Mus musculus: one gene and its partners. The protein of the gene in region 1 interacts with the protein of each later gene in a pairwise test. Links are inferred from orthologs where the notes say so. Each region holds a gene or a part of one and is shown on either strand. Other genes may lie near its edges.

Region 1 (4,098 bases):
ATATGTATCAGAAGATGGCCTAGTTGGCCATCATTGGGAAGAGAGGCCCCTTTATATGCCTCAGTACGGGGGAACGCCAGGGCCAAGAAGTGGGAATGGGTGAGTAAGAGAGTTGGGGGGGTGGGTCTGGGGGACTTTTGGGATAGCATTTGAAATGTAAATGAAGAATATACCTAATTAAAAAAAAAGATTTATTCTATATATGTGAGTATACTCGCTGTCTTCAGACACACCAGAAGAGGGCATCGGATCCCATTACAGATGGTTGTGAGCCACCATGTGGTTGCTGGGAATTAAACTCAGGACCTCTGGAAAAGCAGTCAGTGCTCTTAGCTACTGAGCCATCTCTCCAGCCCCACTTGCAGTCTTTCTGTCTCAGCCTCCTGAGTTCTGGCCTTGTAGACTTGATTATCATGCCCAAAACCAGCTATGTTAATGTTATGTTCTTCCCTAGAAGAGTACAATTTGGTTATTTCAGGAAAGGAATCCTCTAGCCATAATAACTTTTATCTCAGGAATTTAGTTCACTTCAGGGAGGTCCACAAGGTGTATCCAGTAGCCAGTTTGTAAACAAAGTTTCATTGGATCATGGCTTTGTTTGTTGAATGCATTACCTGTGATTGTTCTGTTCAAGACCACAGTTGGCTAAGTCGTAGAGACTTTATGGCTCCATGAACCTAAAATATTCTCTGTCTAATTTTTTTTAGAGAAATGTTTGCTTATCTCTGGTGTAGACTATTTTTAGTATAGAGTGCAATGGTGAATCTCAAGAGCCTTTTTTATTTATTTTCTGATGAAGTTTGATAAGACGGGGGAATCTGTAGAGAATAAGAGATTTACAAATTATTACCAAGAAAAGGAAGTACATATAATGAGTTAATCTGCCTCTGCTGAAAAGAGGACTTAGTCAAATCAAGAGCATCTACCCCTTTGTATTAAGAAGAATTTGTTAATTCTTTGCCAAAACCTTGATTTTTCAAAAAGACAAGGCAACAACTAGGACTGGTGGGCACTAATCCTAGCAGCATATCTACCTATAGAGGCACATAAAATGAAGAGTTGTCACATATCACCAGGGCCTGCCCAGGAAGACACAGTACTAAAATCAAAGAGAAGCGATGAGGACAGTCCATCTGTGTTTACATTCTGCATAGTACAGCCTAGGCTGCACAAATATGTATGTGCACCACATGTGTGCTTGGTCTCTATGATGATGAGAAGAGTGTATTAGCTTTCCTGAAAGTGGAGTTACAAATGGTTGTGAGCCACCGTGTGAATGCTAGGAAATGGGTCTTCTGCAAGAATAGCAAGTGGTCTCAACAGCTGAGCCATCTCTCCAGCCCAAATCAGAACTTTTTAAAATGCCTACATAATGAATGGGTAATGTACTTAATGTATGAAGATGAATTCAGCATTTTGATGTGGTAGATAAGATAGGATTTTTTTATTTCTATTTTAAATCACCAAAACAGTGATTTTTTTAAAGAAGTAAATTTTTGCCACTTCATTAGAAAAATAAATGAAATTTTATAGAATTTATGTCTGATTTTTATACACTTGTTTATCATTTATCATTTTTCATCATATATAGTAGTATATCTTCTAGTCTTCCCAGTTTCCTTGATAAGAATTCTTTTGATCTTTGTGAATTATATATGAACAGATAGAATAGGAAAGACATCAGCATCTGTAAGGATCCAGTTATATGAAATAACAAAAACTAGCTTTCTTGTGATAGGACAACACTTGAAGTCACCACAGAAACATCTGTAAGTGAACAGTAACTACTAGGACTTAGGAGTTTATTTTACCTCATGTGCCTCTTGTGAGAATTAAGCCCAATTGAAAGAATCTTGACTTAAAGGTCTCTAAATACTTAATTATATATATTGTAGTATGTTACCCAATTTGAATCACTGAGTTCTCCACTTTTAACGTTACAGTTTACAACTACTGTTCTTAAAATCCTCTTTTTAGCATGTCCATGACTGCCTCCAGCTCACTCCATATTCAGTAAAACCCTTTTTACACCTGGATCTGAAGTCTATAGTATAGTTGTGTGGGTTTTTTTTTAATGTATCTTTAAACACTCCATTATATGTATTAAGGTTTGTTATCCACTTAACATTCTCTCTTGACAAGGTGACAGAAAACTAATGATCTTAGAATTAGAACCACTTTTACAGGTGTATCTGTAAGCACTTCAGCACTCTTGAAGGTATAGTCTATAATCCACATGTAAAGACCTATGATATTATTTTACAGTAGTTGCTATTAATACGTTTTGTACTGGACTGCATAGAAGGCCAATACCTGCTTGCTGCTAAGCCGATGCTTTTTTGTATAGATGGAGACATAAAAATGAATGATAGCCTAGAAGATATGTTTGATCGGACAACACATGAAGAGTATGAGTCCTGTTTGGCAGATAGCTTCTCCCAGGTACCAGATGAGGAAGAACTGCCTGACACCACAAAGAAAACAAACAGTAAGTCTTTTTTCTCTTTAATTGTATATTTTCTATTACACTCAATTCATTAAATCATCAGACTAATTAATAGAGGATTGATTAGAAATATTAACAAAAGTTTCATGTTTCTTATATAAATTTCTTTTTTAGTTATTAAAAATTTATGTATATATATATGTATATATATATATATATATGTATGTATATATGTTTTACCTGTGTGTATGTGTCTGTACACCACATATGTGCCTTGTGCCCATGGATGCCAGAAGATAGCATTGGATCTCCTGAAACTGGAGTTACAGAAGGTTGTGAATCACCATGTTGGTGCTGGGACTCAAACCTGAGTCCTCTAGAAGAGCAGCCAGTGCTCTTAACCACTTGAGCCTTCTCTCCCAGTTACTTTTTTATTTGAAATAATTTCAGACTAATGGAAGAATTAAAAAAAAAAAGTTCAGTGTGTACACCTATACTTCTTTTTTTTTTTTTCCTTTTTTTATTAGGTATTTAGCTCATTTACATTTCCAATGCTATACCAAAAGTCCCCCATACCCACCCACCCCCAATCCCCTACCCACCCACTCCCCCTTTTTGGCCCTGGCGTTCCCCTGTACTGGGGGATATAAAGTTTGCGTGTCCAATGGGCCTCTCTTTCCAGTGATGGCCGACTCAGGAGGCAGAGGCAGGTGGATTTCTGAGTTTGAGACCAGCCTGGTCTACAGAGTGAGTTCCAGGACAGCCAGGGCTACACAGAGAAACCCTGTCTGGGGGAGGTGGGGGGAGTCTTTCTTACCTAGAAGGACACACAAAGCTGGTTCCAGGATTTAGCCCAAGAGGCAGTGGTTGGAATGGGAAGTGGAATGGTCATATTTGACTTTTTCTTCTAATTTTGATGACCAGTCTACTACCCTAGATGTATTGTCCTAAGTGTATATTACATTACTCTATTTCTCCCTGTCCCTGATCTTAAAAAGCTTTACTATTTCACCTATTCTATGCATGCCTCTGCAATTTGATACAGAATACCAGGATGGCCTTATTTTAAATACAAATTGGAATATATCATGTTTTTACCTAGAAAGTCTTCAATGAAAAGATAATTGAATAATCAATAAACATGAGAAAATGTCCAGTATTATTGGGACATTCCCTGGGGCGACTAAAAACAACCAAATAACCGAATACTAGGGGGAGGAGTAACTGGGGTCCTATGTATGGTAAGAGGATTATACAAAACAGTTTCCCACGTTCGTCATCAGTTTTGTACCTAATATAGCATTTGATTATATATATATATGAAAACAAAAAAGTTATGCTTATTAGAGTTGTAGCACTGAAAGAATATAACAGTACTATTTATAATAACTTAAAATCAAAATCAGCCCACATATCCATCAACAAGCAAATACATCAAAGCAACGCAGATAAGCCTCCAACTTGCTAAGCTGGGAAAATAAAAATGATCTTAAAAAATTATAAAATTTTTAGTATGTAATTCAAGACAAGCTATGAGCTAAAGAAATCCATTAGTGTTGAGGGAGAGATGGGAGAGAAACACAAGAGGATATTCCTATATATTAGAAACAAATAACAGAAAAATCAGAAGTGATAGAAATTTTTTAATTTTG
Region 2 (4,098 bases), on another chromosome or scaffold:
GCAACGACTGCCAGCAGGACGCATCTGTTTCGATTAACAGTCAATTTTCTTCTCAGAGCTAACTAAAACCTTTGAAAGTTGGATCTACTTGACTTTTCTTCTAAACATTTAAAACACACACACACACACACACACACACACACACACAGGATTATGAGGAGACAACAGAAGCCAGTTTCCTCTTGCCGCAGCCGCATCTCCCTCGGGGCTTTGAAACGTGGTCAGTGCATCACAAGAGGCTCCTGTTTCCCTCTGGGCTTAACTCACCTTGTCAAGATGCTGCTGCAAGATGTCTCTCATCTGCGTCCGTTCAGCACTCTCTGTACCTGAGGCAGCACTTAGACACCGAGACAGAGTCCCAACTTCCTCCTCAGCATCCTCACCAAGGAATACGCGCTCATCCAGATTCCCAGCGGCTAACACGTATTCTTCATATGCCTTATTAACGGCCTTACTATGGGGAAACAGGACCGCCATTTCAGCTCATGTTCCACACCAGGGTTTTACTCACTACAGCATCTCGCAAATTTCTCAAGGTCATTTATTTCTGTAGAATAATTGCTCATTTCAAAAACCCAAGAGAAGTTGCAACTCGCTTTGATCTAAGTGTCCAGTACACACTGAATATACTTTTTTAACAGTGTGTCAAGGTAGGAACTCTGAACAAACCTGCCTTCAATAAGCTAATAATAATAATAAATAATGATAAACTAAATTATACTAAATTACGCTAAACTAAAGTTGTGATGCTGGGTGACATACAACTGGCATATGACCATGCAGGAACATTTCCTCAGCTGTTCTTGGCACCTCTAAAGACCTGGTATTGCCACACTGTCACCTCTAAAGATCCAAATACCAGTCCTTTTTTCCTTAACTTCATTTTTTTTTTTGAGACAAAGTAGCCCCCAACTTACAATCACCTTGCCTCAGGTCCTAAGTGCTGAGATGTCAGCCCCATGCTCTGATGGCCAGGCACAAAAGCATTTCTTTCTTCTCTTTTTTTATATTAAAAAATATTTATTTATTTACTTTATGTATATGAGTACACTGTTGCTGTCTTCAGAGACCCCAGAAGAGGGCATCAGATCCCATTACAGATGGTTGTGAGCCACCATGTGGTTGCTGGGAATTGAACTCAGGACCCCTGGAAGAGCAGTCAGTGCTCTTAACCACTGAGCCATCCCTCTAGCCCACAAAAGCATTTCTTAATTTCAAAATTTAGAGTCTAAAATCTTGAGTAATAAAACTTTGAACAGAACAAAAACAAGTTTCACTGAGAATAAAGACATATGGCATATGGTTATAGTAGAAGTTTCCAGAACTGTGATGGCTTCTATGAGTTCTACCATAAAGCATTAAAACCATCCAACGTACAAACAGTACAAACACTGAGCGCGAGGTCTCCTCACAGCTAAGTTAAAGTATCAGAGCAAGCCGGGCATGGGGAGGCAGAGGCAGGGGGAATCTCTGAGTTGGAGGCCAGCCTGGTCTACAGAACAAATTCCAGAATAGCCAAGGCTACAAATAGAAACCCTGCCTCAAAACAAAAACAAAAACCAAAAAACAAAACAAAACCAAAAAACCAAAAAACCAAAAACCAAAACCAAAACCAAACAAACAAAAACAAAAAAAAAACCCCAGAAAGCAAGCAAGCAACCAAACCATCCTAGCAGGTGTGCAGCGTAAGTACTCACAAACTCTCTCCAAAGTTTCCGGGCTCCAGGAAGCCAGTAAGATTTTCTTCCTTCCCCTTGAGAAGCTACGATGAAAAGAAAGGTTCTTGGGTTACGTGCGACCGAGTCTTTACCCAGAAAACGTCCGTATGTCATTACTTACGAACCTTTTTCTCAAACAGTTTCCTAATATAGGGTTTCCAGAAGTGTTCCTTTATCCCCTTGGCCTCCAACACTAGACCGTCGTGTAAGGAGCACAGCTTCTCAATGACACACGGCGGGTCGGAGGACGCTTTAGAGTCCTTGGGGTGACAGTCCTCGGACAGGCCTGTGGTGTATAAAATCACAAGATGGAGACAATGGTCAGCACCAACTCGCCAACATACAGTACACGGAAACAGAAATGTTAGTCTGCTCAGCACATGGTGGGCATGTGTAACTAATTTACATATGCCTCAAAAGATGAAGAGAGATGAAGTCAGAGATGGATATGCAACATCCCCAGGACAAACAGAAAGGGACACGCTTCCTCAACCTGTAACCCATGCTCAGGAGGACCGACTGAGCTGTAACATCCTGCCTCACATAGAGAAAGAACTATATAAATTATCAATTGAATTAGTAATGTGACTAAAGGCTGTTGGAAAAATAAAAGCTTGGGGGAATATCTGAAAAACATCAGAACTCTGTTCTGCAAATGAGCCTTACGTTCAAATTAAAAAACAAAACAAAACAAAAAAAACAACACTTAAAAAATTATACAGTTCTGCCAGGTGAGGTGGCTCACACCATTAATCCTAGCACTCAGGAACAGGGGAAGGTGGATCTCTGTGAGTTCAAGGCCAGCCTTGTCTACACATTGAGTTCCAGGACAGCCAGAGCTACAGAAACCCTGTCTCAAACAAACAAACAAACAAACAAACAAGCAAACAGACAGACAGACATTACCCATTTCTGAATGCTGAGATGGCTCATCAGGTGAAGACACCTGCTTCCAAGCCCGACAACCTGTTTACTCTCTAAGAGTCAATTTATAGTGTTCTCTTTCATAAGAACATAAAACAATCAAAGAAAATTAAAGGAGGTAAAAACAGAACAAATAACAATATCAGACAGAAGCAGCAGAGGCAGCACAGGACCAGGGCACCCTGTGTCCAGTCCCCAGAACAAAAGGTGAGAGAATAAAGTGAAGACAATGGGGCGCACAGCAAGGGGCAAAGGTCAGGTGCTCCTAGTTGAAAATGCTTGGACCAAGATTTAGAGTTTAGTCTTTGGAATCTTGGACCATTTGCACCATCTTAATTAGATGAACATGCATAGCCAAAAACTCTTCGGTGACATCTACAACTTTCTTTTTCTGCTTTGATTTTCTGCTGTCTTGTTTGTTCTCGTTAGTACTGAGAATCAAACTCAGGGCCAGCCAAGAAGTCTGTCACAAACTCCATCTCAAGCCTACGTCTCACACCTCTCGAGTCACAGGGAACTGGGAGTAACTAGCTCCACTAATTTTAAAACCAACCCGGATGGGCACGTTGAAGTTCTAACTGAAACCATGCCCAAGCTGACGGCCAGAATTCTTCCACGGTGTTTTTCATGCAGAATCAGCAATATAGACTAGTCTATACATCCTCAGTATTTATGTATATGGCTTATAGAAATTACATAGTCTAAAGCACATTACACGTACCACCAAGATGAGTATGACTCTCATACCAGTCACCCAGAGAGCTAGGTTCTTGTTTCAACATTTTATTTTTCTGTAGCAAAAGAAGTGAGATGCCGTTCTTTTAGCCAACTCTTTGCTGCTACTTGGGGTGCGTTAAGCACCAAATGTGCCAACAGCAAGAAATACTACCATGGCTTTTGCTATATATTTTTCAAAAACCGCCAAAGTTATCATTTAAAACTAAATTCGGTTATATTTGCTTTTCGTTTTTAGAGGTGGGGGTAGGGTGGGCACTGGAGAGATGACTCACTAGTTAAGAGCACAGCTTACTCTTTCAGAGGACCTAGGCTCAATTCCCAGCACCCATGGCTCACGGCCATCTATAAGCCCGGTTACACAGGATTTAACACTCTCCTTCTGGCCTGTGGGAACAGCAGGCACACATGTGGTACACAAACATACATGCAGACAAAACACCCATACACATAAAATAAAGTGAAACATTAAAAAATGTCTGGAGATGCTGACTTCAGTATAAGCACTCATACGACTCAGGTGGCAGAATTTCTCCAATACTCATGTCCTCTGAGGCTAGCAAGCCTGCATCTGGGGATACAGTTTCCACGAGTAAAAACCATGCAGAAACACGGGCTTTCAATAAACTTACCTTTAAAATTAGGGTTCACAAGTTCTTTACGGTTAGAACACTGAAGGGCATTTCCATAGACTAAATCTAATGCGCACAGCAGAAGATGG
Region 3 (4,898 bases), on another chromosome or scaffold:
TGGCCTTTATCGTTGTGGAGCCCGTGGTGGGTTTAAATTCTAAATTCGTCTGCCTCAGCCTCTCAAGTGCTTGTATTATTGGCATGCACCCCCACTCCTAGCAGCTCTTTCAAAGTTAAAGTATGATTGGAATATAGCTCAACAGATTCACTCTCAGCATCTCTTAAGTGAAGGATAAATCTACATTTACACAGAAGCCTCTAAACAACTTTCATTGGCAATAGCCTAAAACTATGAAGTACTTAAATCTTCAGTGAGTGAATGGTTTAACTACATATATATTAATACTGCTGAATATTATGCAGCAACATAAGATCAAACTACATATACGTATCTAGCAACCTGGACAGATCTCAGTGACTGTGACTAAACAAAACCAACCTTCGGCCAGCACATATAGTAGGGTTCCACAAATGACACGTTATACAGGTGAAAAACAGATTAGTTAAGGAGTACAGTAAGGAGATTTCTATGGGCAGAGATCATGTCCTGCTTGATTGGTGGCCACAGTAGCTACACACTCAGTGGCAGTAGAACAGCTATGCCACTGCCAGGCTCCCAACTTCGCTGCTCTATTTCCCCTTCTTCAGAGAGGAAACTGAAGGAGTGGCTTATGCTCCGTCAGCACGAGGCTGAAGAATTGTCTGGTTCTGTCCTTCCTGTTTTACTTTGTCCTAATGAAAAGAAACCAAAACCAAGAGAGTATAGATGAATGGAAAGGGTGATATTTGCACAGGGAAGCTGTCTCTAGGGCTTTCCCTCTTCTGGCATCCACCAGTCTGGGGTCCAAGCAGGTCCAGGGCTGCAGTCTTGGAATTCCTCATCATTTTGATATCTCTGGATTCAAAGTAGGGAGGTGTGATCTCAGTTCCTGCTTCTGGTCCCATTTTGTACCTGCCATATACTGGTTTTGAGTTCCTGTTTTATTTCCCAGTGATTCTGTTCAGCCATTTTCTCTCATAGAAGTTACAGCATAGCCCTGTCACTTATTATTCAGCCTCTTTGTGGCCTTGGTTTTCTTACTTGTGAATAGCACCTGTTTCATAGAGGATATGGTGATATGATAGGAGACACTATTCACGGTTACTCAGGTCTCAACTGTTGCTTGTCTCTCAAAGGGCATATGGCTCTTCTGTTATCACTATGACCTGCAGTGCTTAGCGCCGTGCCTGCTCACAGTTCTTTGAGGTGCTTGCTTTGGGTAGGATGGCTTGTTGGACTAGAGAATGGAACCACAGAAGAACCCTGCACCCTGTGTTGCCTCATGCTTCTCTGTTGCTATTATCATCATGACAAACACAATTACAAGACAGTAGTAGTTTAAGCTAAATATAGCAGGAATACCATGAAGAATCCGTGACTCTCCTGTTACAGGATTAGCTGGGATTAAATTGAAGAATTACAGTTAAACTCTAGTCTGGTTTACACTGCTCCATTCATTGAAGCCTTTACTATGCTGTTACTTTTATCAAGAACAAAGATAATAAATGGCTACATAGAGCTTCCCTTCAGGGGCTCACAGGTCCTTTCTGAAGCTTATCAAGCTTTTCAAAAATTTCTGTGTATACCCAAATGGAGACTCACTCAGACACAAATTGTCACTAACACGTGAAATGGTTTTGGGAGCTTCTAGAAGTCATAATAGATCCAGACTGCTGTGCTGCAGAGCTCTTAACATGAAAAGTCAGGAGTGACCCTGGCAGCTGGGTGACGCATGTGGGAACAGTGGGAGTGACCCTGGCTGGGAAACAGGAGGCCTGGATATTGTTTCTCTTCTCTGTATCCTGCTCGGCATCACAGGACTCTGAACTCTCAAGCTTGTACAATGGCCTTCCCAGGACGGGCACGCCCGTGCACTATCCCAGAGAATGAAGAAATCCCCCAAACAGCCCTTAACAGCGTCCTTGAAGCTAATGGGAATGAAGACGAGAGGGCTGTGTCAAACCTGCAGCGCAGGCACAGTGACGTAAAGGTCTACAAGGAATTCTGTGATTTTTATGCGAAATTGTGAGTCTCTTCCCTCCTAAAATACAGGCTTTCAAGTCTCCAGATCTTCAGTTCTGCATTTCCTAGCCATTTAAGCCAGCTAGTGTGTTTTAATTTAGCAGGGCTTTTCCAGGGTGTACGGAGGGCTGGGGGTGGTTCTCAGATTGCCTTGTCTTATAAACTTCCACCAGAGGACATACTAGATGTCAAGGAAAATGCCACCTTCCTGGGAAGAATAGACAGCGCTCATCTTTCTAATAATGGTACATTTTCACTGTGTTATCCATAAGAGAAGTTGGCACTTGTGTTGTCAGGATCTATAGCAGGAAAAATATACTCTGAGAGTTCCCAAATATGAAACTAAAAATTTAATCGATAAACACTTTGTTGGGGATTTATCCCATAATCAATATTTGAGGTGGTTAATAAACTCTCAAGATATTTGATAACAGAATTTTATATATTGTATTTTAAGAGTAGGAAATTTGTTTCACATGTGGAGATAAATGAGATGTAAAAATTGGAAGGTTTGATTGTGGTTTCCTATGTTAGCCGAGTTATGGAGGTGGGTGTGTAACATCAGTCCTGGTTGGCTTTTGTAGACATGTATTCTCTCCGCTCCCATGTTTTCTTTGTCATCAACACTTTTAGTGAAAAAACATTTTCTGGAAAATTAAGCAATTAGGTATAACCAATCTAATGACTTATCTCTTTAAAAATAGCTTCTTCATACATTGTTAAATACTGTCAAGTATAAAAAAAATGTGAACAATACAGGAGAGTCAGGCAAGAGAGAAGCTGAGTATGTAATCCCAACACTTGGGAGGTGTGGAGGGTCAGGAATTTGAGATCAGCCTTGGCTACATGAGACCCAGTCTCAAAGAAAGAAAAAAGAGCACCAACTGCCAGCCAACAAGGTGAGAGGGAGGGGAAGCCTGAGCTCAGTTGGGAGGCACGCGGTCGCTGTTTTCTGTCCCTGCTTTGGTCACTAAGGGGAGTTCATATATATGAATATGTGTGTAAAACATTCATCTACCTACGCACTTGGCCAAGTCTACTTGAGTTTTCAAACATAATTAAGTCTGGAATGTAGCTGTAGTGAATATAAACAGGTCAGTGCTAATAGCATTTTTATCAGCACCATTTTAAAAAAGATTGAAATCCAATACTTCTTGTATGAGAAATATGTATTTATTCGATTAAAAGTGACATATTACATGCTAGTAATACAGAGGAAAAAGTAAACTTTTGCACATTTTTCTTGATGCAGCTCCCTCCTTCCAATCTGCTTCTGCTCTTGGCACAGAGATATGGCTGAGAGGGTACTTCAGAACTTCCAGAGATTCAGTCACCCCAGACCTTGAGAATCATTGAGTTAAGTGGGAGTAAAGCAAGACATTCCAGAATGTTCTTCAGCTTTTCGGGGAGGTCCATTAAGTTTGCTGAGGAGTGATATCATTGGAGAGAATTTAGAATTATAATGGTGCTGTGTCTTTTAGTAGCACCTTCTGCTTTCCAGAGGGGATTATATTTTTTTATTATTTCATCCTCAAAACAGCTTCTGATAATTCCTGAGCGGATGTGGGCTAGCGTCTTTCTCCACTCAGCCACTCTTTCTGTAAGAAAAGAGGGTGCACAGATCCCTTCAGAGTTTTATTAAAGACGTTGCTGTTCGTCTAGATCCTCTCTCCTCACAATAATTCTGAAAAGACAAAGTGGAAGTCTCTATACACAGTGCTTAGGCCAGGTTCGTCAGAAGTAAGGCTGCCTCTTTTCACGTTTTAAAAGTGTTATTTTGGGGCGGGGGCGGAGGGGAGAGTGTCATACACTATGAAGGTCAAAGATAACTTGCTGGAGTCAGTTTTTCTTCTATGTGAATTCCAGGGATCAAACCCACATCTTCAGGCTTGGCAGCAAGCACTGTCACCAGCTTTGCTTTCTCTCGGGCCCAATCTTTTCCCTTCTCTTCAGTGACACTCCTATCTTAATTGAGCTTATGAATTAAAACAGACTTTTGATTGATCTGGAATGGTGAATGTGGGGATTCAGCATAGTGTTACTGTGGCAAGGTTACAACACAGAATTGTCTTGAAACACTTGAGGAAGAAGACAGATGTAGAGCTGTCCTCCATTGGGGTGGACAAAGAATAAGTCTTGCTATGGAAATGCTAACCTTGGAAAGAGCTAAGAGCAAGGCCGCTGGTTAAAGTGTTTGTGAAGTGAGAGGCTCTCCACGCCATCTGTCCCTTGGCAGTGGTGCCGGCAGACTGATGAGATATTTGAAAGGTCAGAAGCTATGCCAGGAGCAGACTGCTTTTGTAGAGGTAGAACTCCACCATAGAATCAGCCTCTGGAAACAAAAAAACAAGCCAAAACAAACAAACAAAAGGCTTGGTCAGTGACTGTTCAGCATATGGAACCTTCTCCATTTCTAGAGCTTTCAGAAACAAAATAGCTATTCATGTGAAATCCTCACCTAAGTCTGCTTCAGCTGCTGCCTGGCTCCTGAAGCGCCAGTGGCTAGAGAAAACAATTATTCGTGATCACATCCTGTGTTTTGAGGTAGAGTGGGATTGCTTGTGAGGGAACTGTCAGAGTCACTCAATGCTAGTTAATGCCTGCTTTTATTTTCCTGGCCTGTAAAACATGATTGTGTCCCTACCATGAACTGCCAAGAGTTTGCCGAAAGGCTGTGATCTGTGATGGAGATGATTCCTTGTAAGCAGAGAGCCTGGATTCTACCCCTGTGTCATTCATTCATGAGTAGCTAGTGCCATGATGTTGAGTTAACTGTTCACCTCTGAACCTGTTTCTCTATCTACAAAGTGATTTTTTTTTTTAAAGATTTATTTATTCATTATATGTAAATACACTGTAGCTGTCTTCAGACACACCAGAAGAGGGAGTCATAT
Region 4 (4,098 bases), on another chromosome or scaffold:
CCTGAGGGCCAGCAAAAAGAACGGAAACAGGTAACCCTGGGAAGGAGGAGGGAGGAGAACCCTCTAGAGTGTACCGGAGACCTGGGAAGTGAGAGACTCTCAGGATTCAAAGGGACCTTGGATGAAATGTCCAACAGTGGGGAGAGAGAACTCGTAGAGTCCACCTCCAGTAGAAAAACAGGGCATCAAGTGGAGGGATGGGGTTGCCATTCCACAGTCAAAAGCTCTGACTCGCCGGGCATGGTGGCACACACCTTTAATCCCAGCACTCGGGAGGCAGAGGCAGGCAGATTTCTGAGTTCGAGGCCAGCCTGGTCTACAAAGTGAGTTCCAGGACAGCCAGGGCTATACAGAGAAACCCAGTCTTGAAAAACCAAAATAATAATAATAATAATAATAATAATAATAATAATAATAATAATAAATAAATAAAAAAACAAAAGCTCTAACTCAGAATTGTTCCTATGTGAAAGAACTACAGGGACAAAAATGGAGAAGAGCATGAGAGAAAAGAGGTCCAGTGTGACCGACCCAAACTGGGCCCTGACACTGTTACTGATGCTGTGGTATGCTTGCAGACAAGGGCCTAGCATGGCTGCCCTCTGAGGGGACCAACAAGCAGCTGAAAGAGTCAGATGCAGATATTTGCACCCAATCAATGGACAGAAGCCAGGAACCCCTGTGGTTGAATTAGGAGAAAGCTAGAAGAAGGAGGAGGGTGGCCCCATGGATAGACCAGTAGTCTCAACTGACCTGGATCCTTGAGATCCATCAGACAACGAGCCACAAACTGATATGAGGCCCCTGATACATATACAGCAGAGGACTGCCTGGTCTGGGTTCAGTCTGGGAAGATGCACCTAACACTCAAGACACTGGAGGCCCCAGGGAGACCTGGTGGGATGGGGGGTGAGGGACATCCTCTTGGAGATGGAGGTTGGGTGGTGAAGGATGTATGGGGTGGGGAGTGGTTGGGGTAGGGGGGAGAAGCAGGCCAGGAAGAGGATGAAGTCTGGACTGTAAAAAAGGATTAAAGAATAAAAATAAATACATTTAAAAAAAATTTCTCAATTTGTCCACTTCCTCAAATGTGCTATAAATCAAGTCAATATAAAACCTGCTATTTCTATCTCAAAATACATTCCAGACCCTTCTTTTCCACCTTTAATGTTTATGATAGTCCAAGATACCTATATCCCTTATTATTTATTTTAAAGAATTATTTATTTTGTGTATATGAATATACTGTAGCTATCCTCAGACACAACAGAAGAGGGCATCAGATCCCATTATACATGGTTGTGAGCCACCATGTGGTTGCTGGGAATTGAACTCAGGACCTCTGGAAGAGCAGTCAGTGCTCTTAACCACTGAGCCATCTCTCCAGTCCCTGCATCCCTTATTTAAACTATAAAGTCTTTGAAATTTTCTTTCCATTTTCTTGACTTGACATCTCCTAGCCCTCAAGCCCTCCCATATTTCAAATAGCAACTAGATAGTCTCTTAATACAGATTATTCACAGTTGCATTTGTGTGTGAATGGTTTCCCACTACCTTATAACATCTATGCATTTAGAGCCTCTAGCTCCAGTGTGCTGCTTCTGCGTCAGCCTTACACTTACTGCTCTGACTGTGAGCCACCCACCCTGGGTTTCTTTCTAGTCCATAATATAGGCATTTTCCCAAAAGAGGAAAAGTTTTGTCTGGTCAGCATTACGTTGCCTTCCAGGTCTCCAGTCAAACTATGACGTCATCTCCTGGGTCTCCCCTCCTCTCATTTCATTGGTTTCACTGTTGCATGAGTCCTCTAAACTAAACTCATACTAGTCTATGTGTTCACTGCTTCCTTCCTGTGAGATGCAAAGTCCTATAAGGGAAAAGGACCAGGCCATCTAATCATATCAGTAACTGGTACTGTTAACCTAGCACTTTACAAATAACCATTTCCTGAATTACAGGAACATATAAAGCTGACTTATGTGAAAATATTACCTAACAAACAAACTCATGCATGAATACACAGTCTCTGTGGGTCAGAAATACTTTGGGTGGAAGTTACCATGGAAATGATATCACAGGAAAATGGTTTATCACAGAATGCTGTATTTCCTCACTGAATCAGGTAGAAACATGGAGCACGTTTCTATGAAAGGACAAAGCTAGAGGGCTAAGAGAGCATGTACTGTGATCTGACTACTTGGGTTCATTTATGTGCATCTTAAGCAAGCTCCCTTGTTTCCCTCATTGCTACTTTACAGGTAACTGGTGCTGATACAGTATCTTCTACCTTACGAGGCTGGTATGAACTCTAGGGAAAAATGTGAATCTGACGTACCTATGTAAATGCCCCAAATACAGGGAACCCTGACTAAATGTCAGCTGTTTCTTCTCTCAGCATCACCACTCCACACTAGCGATGTGTAATAGTCCATTACTCCACACTTACTCTGTGCCTCTCCCCAAATGGTCTGATACATATTCTCTGAAAATCTCTCCTGCTTTCTGGCTGTTTCAGAAACAAGTAAGTTCGGACTCTTGGGATATTTCCTCTTGCTTTTCCAATTCTCATGCTAAAGTCCTATCTGATCATTCGGACCTATCTAAAGCAGCATCAGCTTTGTCATGAACGATTAATTCCCCGCTACACCAACACCATGTGATTCAGTAGCTTTGTACTTCTTTATTTGACCTTACTTGGGTCATGTGTCTTAGATTCCTAACACTTAAAAGAAAAAATAGTATCTTAAGCAAAATTTCAGTCCTACAATTTCTATATAGCGCTTTGAGCTTCCCTTATGGCCAGAGTATCTCTGCAGTTTGAATGAAAGCACGGTGCCTTTACTTACATATCTGCTGCAGTATGGTTACCCTGGAGAGGCAGGCTGAGAGGACAAGCAGGTTCAAGGTTATCAGGTCCTTCTCCATCCTTGGACTGCTTAATGAGATCAAATAAAGGTGAATCCTGGATAAAAGAAAATGGCATTATAACAACATCAGCAGGTATGGCTTTACTGAGTACATATGAAAACCATGCTTTGTTGTTGCAGGATATCTGACCACACTGTGAACCTGGGATTGTGTTAAAAAATGATTTCTAGTGTGGTGTGGCTCATCCCTTCCCACACACCTTTAGCCCTGCTGACCAGAATACAGACAGCCTTCATACACACCTTTAATCCCAAACAATGAAGGTAAAGGTAGTTTGGAGAAGGAAGTTTGAAAGTGATGTCTAATTGAGTGGCAGACAAAGTAACAAATCAGAGATAGGTTGACAGAATAGGATACGCCTAACTCTCAAGAGAGAGGAAAAAGAAGCTACTGGAGGGAGCCATGCAGAGAGAGAGAGAGAGAGAGAGAGAATGGAGAAAGTAGTCAGGGGTGAAGACAGAACAAGCTGGAAAAGGAGCAGGAGCCAGAAGATCAGAACACATTGCCAAAGTTAGTATGAGGCCACATAGAGCAATTCAGTCAGAGATGCCAAATTGAAACAGCTTGGAGGAAGGTTTGAGCCAAAACAGCAACTCTGAACCAGCCATCTAGAGTTTGGAAAGAACAAGGAAGGGTGAGTATATTCAGCAGTAAGTCTCAGAGGCTGAAAACATTCTAGGTCTAGATTAGCTTCCAGGCCTAGGCCTAGGTTAGCAGACAGAAGCAGTGAGTCTCCGAGCAACCATTAGAAGACTAGGAAGCACTGTTGCCCTCCCTCTGTGACAGACAGGGCTAAGGAGCATTAACTTCGGCAGCGCGAGATCCTTTACTCCATTTGGAGTTCTTACTCGACAGTGCTGATACTGTGTGCATGCACATACAAAACCAGGAAAATAAATGACCTCAAGTGTTCCTCCAACATGCATCTTGGCTTTTGATTTTTTTTTGAATATTCACTTATATGTATATTAAGATATATTGGTGATAAAACCAAAGTTTAAGCACATGGTTCATTTATGTTTCAAATATAACTTATACACATGGTGGACTATAATTTTATCAACATTTTAGTTACATTTTTTGTCTATGATATATTACATGGGTTAGCATCATGTTTGGATATAGAAAGTTTTGAATTTAGGCTGGAAAATAGGCCAGAGGTAGAATGCC
Region 5 (4,098 bases), on another chromosome or scaffold:
AAGGTCTCAAGAAGTTGTCAAACTAGAAAGGACAAAGCTGGTTAACAGTTGACATTCAGTTCCTCTTTCGGAGCTCATGGACAGCTGCTGCTTGAATCCATTTCTATTCCTGCCAAGTTCAGCCTCTGTGTAAGAACTGGAGAGGAGACTGTCCACGCAGAGGTGGCAGTGACTCATTCTCCTCTGATGGAGGCAGAGATGAGGTTTTTACACGCTGACAGCTACGTGCAAGTGTGTGCTCCTATGTTCTGGGACCACAACTGCTTTCACAACTGTTGCAGAACTATGGTATAACTGTGTTCTCAAAGAAGCTTTTAGACTCTCTAGGTAAAATGAGTGTAGAGTTGATGGTTGTAAATACAAGTGAGTGTAAATTTTCTAGTAGAGTAGAAATCTCATTTTCATATTCTCCCTTATAATCTTTTTCTTCAACTAAAAACTAAGAAATTATGTAAATTTTTATTGCTTACATTGTATAGAATAAAAATTATTACTTTTTTAGAAAGTGAAAACAAACTAACAAAAAGAAACCTCTTACTTCCCTGGTAGGACTGAAAGCTGGCTAGGAGGATAGAGTTACTTACCGACATGTCCATTCCATGAAGCCGTCGTGTTTCCTGGACCATTATAGTCTCCAGTATTTTGTAATACAAAATTTCTGCCAGTTTTAGTCTGTTTACAGCAAAGTCTATAGAAAACACAGGAGAGCATATGCTATTGAAATGGTGATGGCAAACTCAACAGTAAGCGGGTACATTAACTGCAAGAGATGGGAACCTGACTGTGGGGACATTCTTTCTCCACACTTAATGCTATCTGTGGGGACAGTCTCCATACTTAATGCTGTGCCGCTTTTATTCTTCTCTTCTTACCTATGTGAGATCCTGGCTGTTTATCTGTGGACTGGGTATAGTGTTGGCAGAAAGTCTCTCCTATTCCTTTCACAATTTTTATAATGTTTCCCATAGGATTCCGCATACAAGATCTATAAAATACAAGAGAAACTTGCTTATCAGGAAAACCCAGATTATCAACATTCCTCAAGATTCTTCAAGAATCACCCAGGGGCTCGGATCCAGCTCAGTGACAGACAGCTTGCGTAGATACCCAAGGCCATGGAATACAGATACAAACTTGCACGCGCGCACATACACTGTAAGTATTAGGGACTGAACTTAGCAGGCATTTGCTGAGTTGCCTTACCAGTCAGCTATAAGCATTTTTAATCATGCTATTTTGCCAGGTATGGTAGCATACATTTGATGCCTGCTTAGACATGAAATGCATGCAGTGCGACAGAGGCCAAACAAGGTGCCAGTCTAATGTGGGTGCTCAGAATCAAACCTTGGATCTCTGCAAAAGCAACAAGTACATTAACTGCTGCCCATCTCTCTGGTCCAGGAGCATTTATGATTATTTATTTTGGTAGCGGTCAGAGGATATCTAGAATCCATCTCTCTTCTTCCTAAGCATCAAACTCAAGTTACCAGACTTGGCAGCCAAAGATAAAAGATGCAGTCCTGAGCCACCTCACTGGCCCTGAATTAATTTTTTAATATTGTGTAATATCTTCATTCTTCTGCATAAGGATATTTTGTTTTCCCAACATCATTTCTTTCTACTCTTTACCCACTATATGGTCTTGGTACACTATCAATGATCACTTGAAAAAAAATATAGCTTATTTCTCTCCATTTTGTTTCCCCAGTTTATACATGTCTGGGTCAATACCATGCTTTTTTGATTATTGAAGCTGTGTACTATTCTACTATATTGAAATAAAATGTAAAGCCTCCAGCGCTGATCTTTTTCAAGTTTGTCTTGGCTTTTTGGGGTACTAAAGTTCCACATGAGTTTTAAAGTTTGGTGGTTTTGTTTGTTTGTTTGTTTGTTTGTTTGTTTTCCTATTTTGGTTTGTTATAGTTTTGGGTTTGTTTGCTTTTTGAGACATGGTCGCATGTAGCCCAGGTTGCTCCTGAACTATTCATATAGCCAAAGATGCCTTGAAGTCTGCTCTGCCTGCTTTCACCTGCACGAGCTAGGACTGCGAGCATGTCTGCCCACACCTGGCTCCCGTGTCTGTCTTTTTGTGCTTCTCATTCCGTCCCTTCTCCTATTGCGGTAACATGCTTGCACAGTGGCCTTGCCACTTCTTTTCAATTTACTCATGCTGACAGTTCAGTACAGGCCAATCTACTCAGGTAGGAGCTATGACCAGATCTTCAGGGCAGTCTTCCAGCCTTCCCTACAACGTCTCTTCATAGATATTTTTGAGACTATGGACAACTTTGGCAACCTTCTTGTGGCCTACAGGAAAGAAGGAATGAGTGTCGCTGCTCCGCAGCCTTTGCTGGAGAGCCAGACTTCCCTCCTCTTCTGAGATTTAGGTAAGTATCTTCATTCCAGAGTTGCCTGGGGATATCTTTACCTTTATGAGGATCTCCCCAGAGTTATAATGAACTCTGGAAAATGGAAGGCTTTTAAGTAGTTTCCCATAATCCTGATTAAACCCTGGTGGGAAGACATGGGACATTCTTTCTTTGGAAGAGTATTAAGACGTAGAAATGAAAGTAGATTGAGTAGATGACATAACCTACGCGTTCTCTCTCTGTCTCTCTCTCTCTGTGCTGAGACAGTGTTGGAGTATGACTTGGATCCCTTCTCCTGTCTCTACCTGGCAAGTGCTGGGATTACAGGAGAAGAGCTCCGCCCCCGCTCCTCCTCCCTCGTTTCCATTGAGATATTTTATTTACATGTATATTTCACATTCCTAAAAGATTAATCTCAGGACTTTCATTTCTATGTCTTAATACTCTGCTTTTTCAAGGTTCACCACGCTCATAAGCCCCATCTCAGGCAGTGACTCTGTACTTGCTCTTCCTGTGAGACTTACTACAGTCTTGCCAAAACTGCTCATGACTATGAGATCCCGCCATGCCTCAGGGTTAGTCAGAGCCTGGCGACTTAGAGAATAACTTTTTGTCTGTTTCTTTATTGGTGTTTATGTATATCTGTGGATGCCAGAGGTCACCCTTGGGTGCCAATCCTCAGAAACTGACCAGTTTGTTTTCAAATAGGTTCTCTCATTAGCCTGGATTCTCAGATGAGCCCCAAGCATCTTCTTGTTTCTGCTGCCTTGGTGCTGTACTTTACAAAGGCATGGCACCACACACTCAGCTTCCTTAGTGGATCTGGAGAATCACACTCAGGGTCTCAGCGCTTTACCAAATGAGTTATCTTTAAAACTGCTCTGGGGGCTGGAGAGATGGCTCAGCAGGTAAAAGCACTGACTTCTGCTCTTCCAAAGGTCCTCAGTTCAATTCCCAGCGACCACATGGTGGCTCACAACCATTCGTAATGAGATCTGATGCCCTCTTCTGGAGGGTCTGAATATAGCTACAGTATACTTACATACAATAAATAAATAAATCTTAAGAAAAAAAAACCCAAAAACCACAAAAACTGCTCTGGGCTCATGTAACCAGGAAGTGCTCCTTCCTGCTCAGTCATCAAGGTAAAGCCACAAGGTGAGCCACAGAGTCAGGTGTAGCCTAAGTTATTTGACAGGACTAATTCTCTGAGGACAACAACAGTGGCCTGGACCTGGAAATGTTGTCACCTCGCTCTCTTTGCTTGTTTTTGAGACGAGGTGTCATGTCTCAAGGCTGGTCTTGAACTCCTGATTATTACCCTCACCAGAAGGATGGAGGAAGAGCCCAGTGTGGAACAGTGATGGGTAGGAGCACAATCCTATCAAACACACCCTTCCAGCACCGCCTGTTAGGGAACAGGCTGTTGGAACAGACCTTCCATTACCTTTCCTTACCACTAATTTAGAAGATTATAACACGAAGTCCTCTCTCTCTCTCTCTCTCTCTCTCTCTCTCCTCAAAGGAGCTGCTGAACATTATTTTCCTGATTCTCATTATTCTTTTATTTCATTAGGAGTCAGAAAAGAAGGGTCTCTGCTATCACATCATCCCACCATCTTTACCAGGAAACATGGCTCTTTAAAAATCAACTCCATGAAATCCCACTATATACTGTCCCCAGAAGGTAACCAGTCTCACCTTGAATAACTACTCCTGTTGAACTCAT

The links.
Region 2: the proteins of Rbbp8 (region 1) and Rbl2 interact in binary tests that used the Homo sapiens proteins (3 or more experiments, as listed by UniProt). The link is inferred for Mus musculus from reciprocal best matches to the Homo sapiens genes RBBP8 and RBL2.
Region 3: the proteins of Rbbp8 (region 1) and Lims1 interact in a two-hybrid assay, tested with the Homo sapiens proteins (2 studies listed by BioGRID and IntAct). The two-hybrid records come from large-scale screens. The link is inferred for Mus musculus from reciprocal best matches to the Homo sapiens genes RBBP8 and LIMS1.
Region 4: the proteins of Rbbp8 (region 1) and Rb1 interact in a two-hybrid assay, tested with the Homo sapiens proteins (2 studies listed by BioGRID). The link is inferred for Mus musculus from reciprocal best matches to the Homo sapiens genes RBBP8 and RB1.
Region 5: the proteins of Rbbp8 (region 1) and Rbl1 interact in a two-hybrid assay, tested with the Homo sapiens proteins (2 studies listed by BioGRID and IntAct). The link is inferred for Mus musculus from reciprocal best matches to the Homo sapiens genes RBBP8 and RBL1.

The regions. Positions count from the first base shown.
Region 1 is NC_000084.6:11,729,843-11,733,940, forward strand, and holds part of Rbbp8 (DNA endonuclease RBBP8), read left to right. Parts: intron 1-2,347; coding exon 2,348-2,488; intron 2,489-4,098. UniProt on the Homo sapiens protein: Endonuclease that cooperates with the MRE11-RAD50-NBN (MRN) complex in DNA-end resection, the first step of double-strand break (DSB) repair through the homologous recombination (HR) pathway.
Region 2 is NC_000074.6:91,083,339-91,087,436, reverse strand, and holds part of Rbl2 (retinoblastoma-like protein 2), read right to left. Parts: coding exon 4,010-4,098; intron 2,005-4,009; coding exon 1,844-2,004; intron 1,763-1,843; coding exon 1,698-1,762; intron 455-1,697; coding exon 268-454; intron 1-267. UniProt on the Homo sapiens protein: Key regulator of entry into cell division. Directly involved in heterochromatin formation by maintaining overall chromatin structure and, in particular, that of constitutive heterochromatin by stabilizing histone methylation.
Region 3 is NC_000076.6:58,392,594-58,397,491, forward strand, and holds the start of Lims1 (LIM and senescent cell antigen-like-containing domain protein 1), read left to right. Parts: upstream 1-1,779; 5' UTR 1,780-1,825; coding exon 1,826-2,007; intron 2,008-4,898. UniProt on the Homo sapiens protein: Within the IPP (ILK-PINCH-PARVIN) complex, binds to F-actin, promoting F-actin bundling, a process required to generate force for actin cytoskeleton reorganization and subsequent dynamic cell adhesion events such as cell spreading and migration.
Region 4 is NC_000080.6:73,213,818-73,217,915, forward strand, and holds part of Rb1 (retinoblastoma-associated protein), read right to left. Parts: intron 2,963-4,098; coding exon 2,847-2,962; intron 1-2,846. UniProt on the Homo sapiens protein: Tumor suppressor that is a key regulator of the G1/S transition of the cell cycle. The hypophosphorylated form binds transcription regulators of the E2F family, preventing transcription of E2F-responsive genes.
Region 5 is NC_000068.7:157,187,351-157,191,448, forward strand, and holds part of Rbl1 (retinoblastoma-like protein 1), read right to left. Parts: intron 986-4,098; coding exon 873-985; intron 689-872; coding exon 585-688; intron 1-584. UniProt on the Homo sapiens protein: Key regulator of entry into cell division. Directly involved in heterochromatin formation by maintaining overall chromatin structure and, in particular, that of constitutive heterochromatin by stabilizing histone methylation.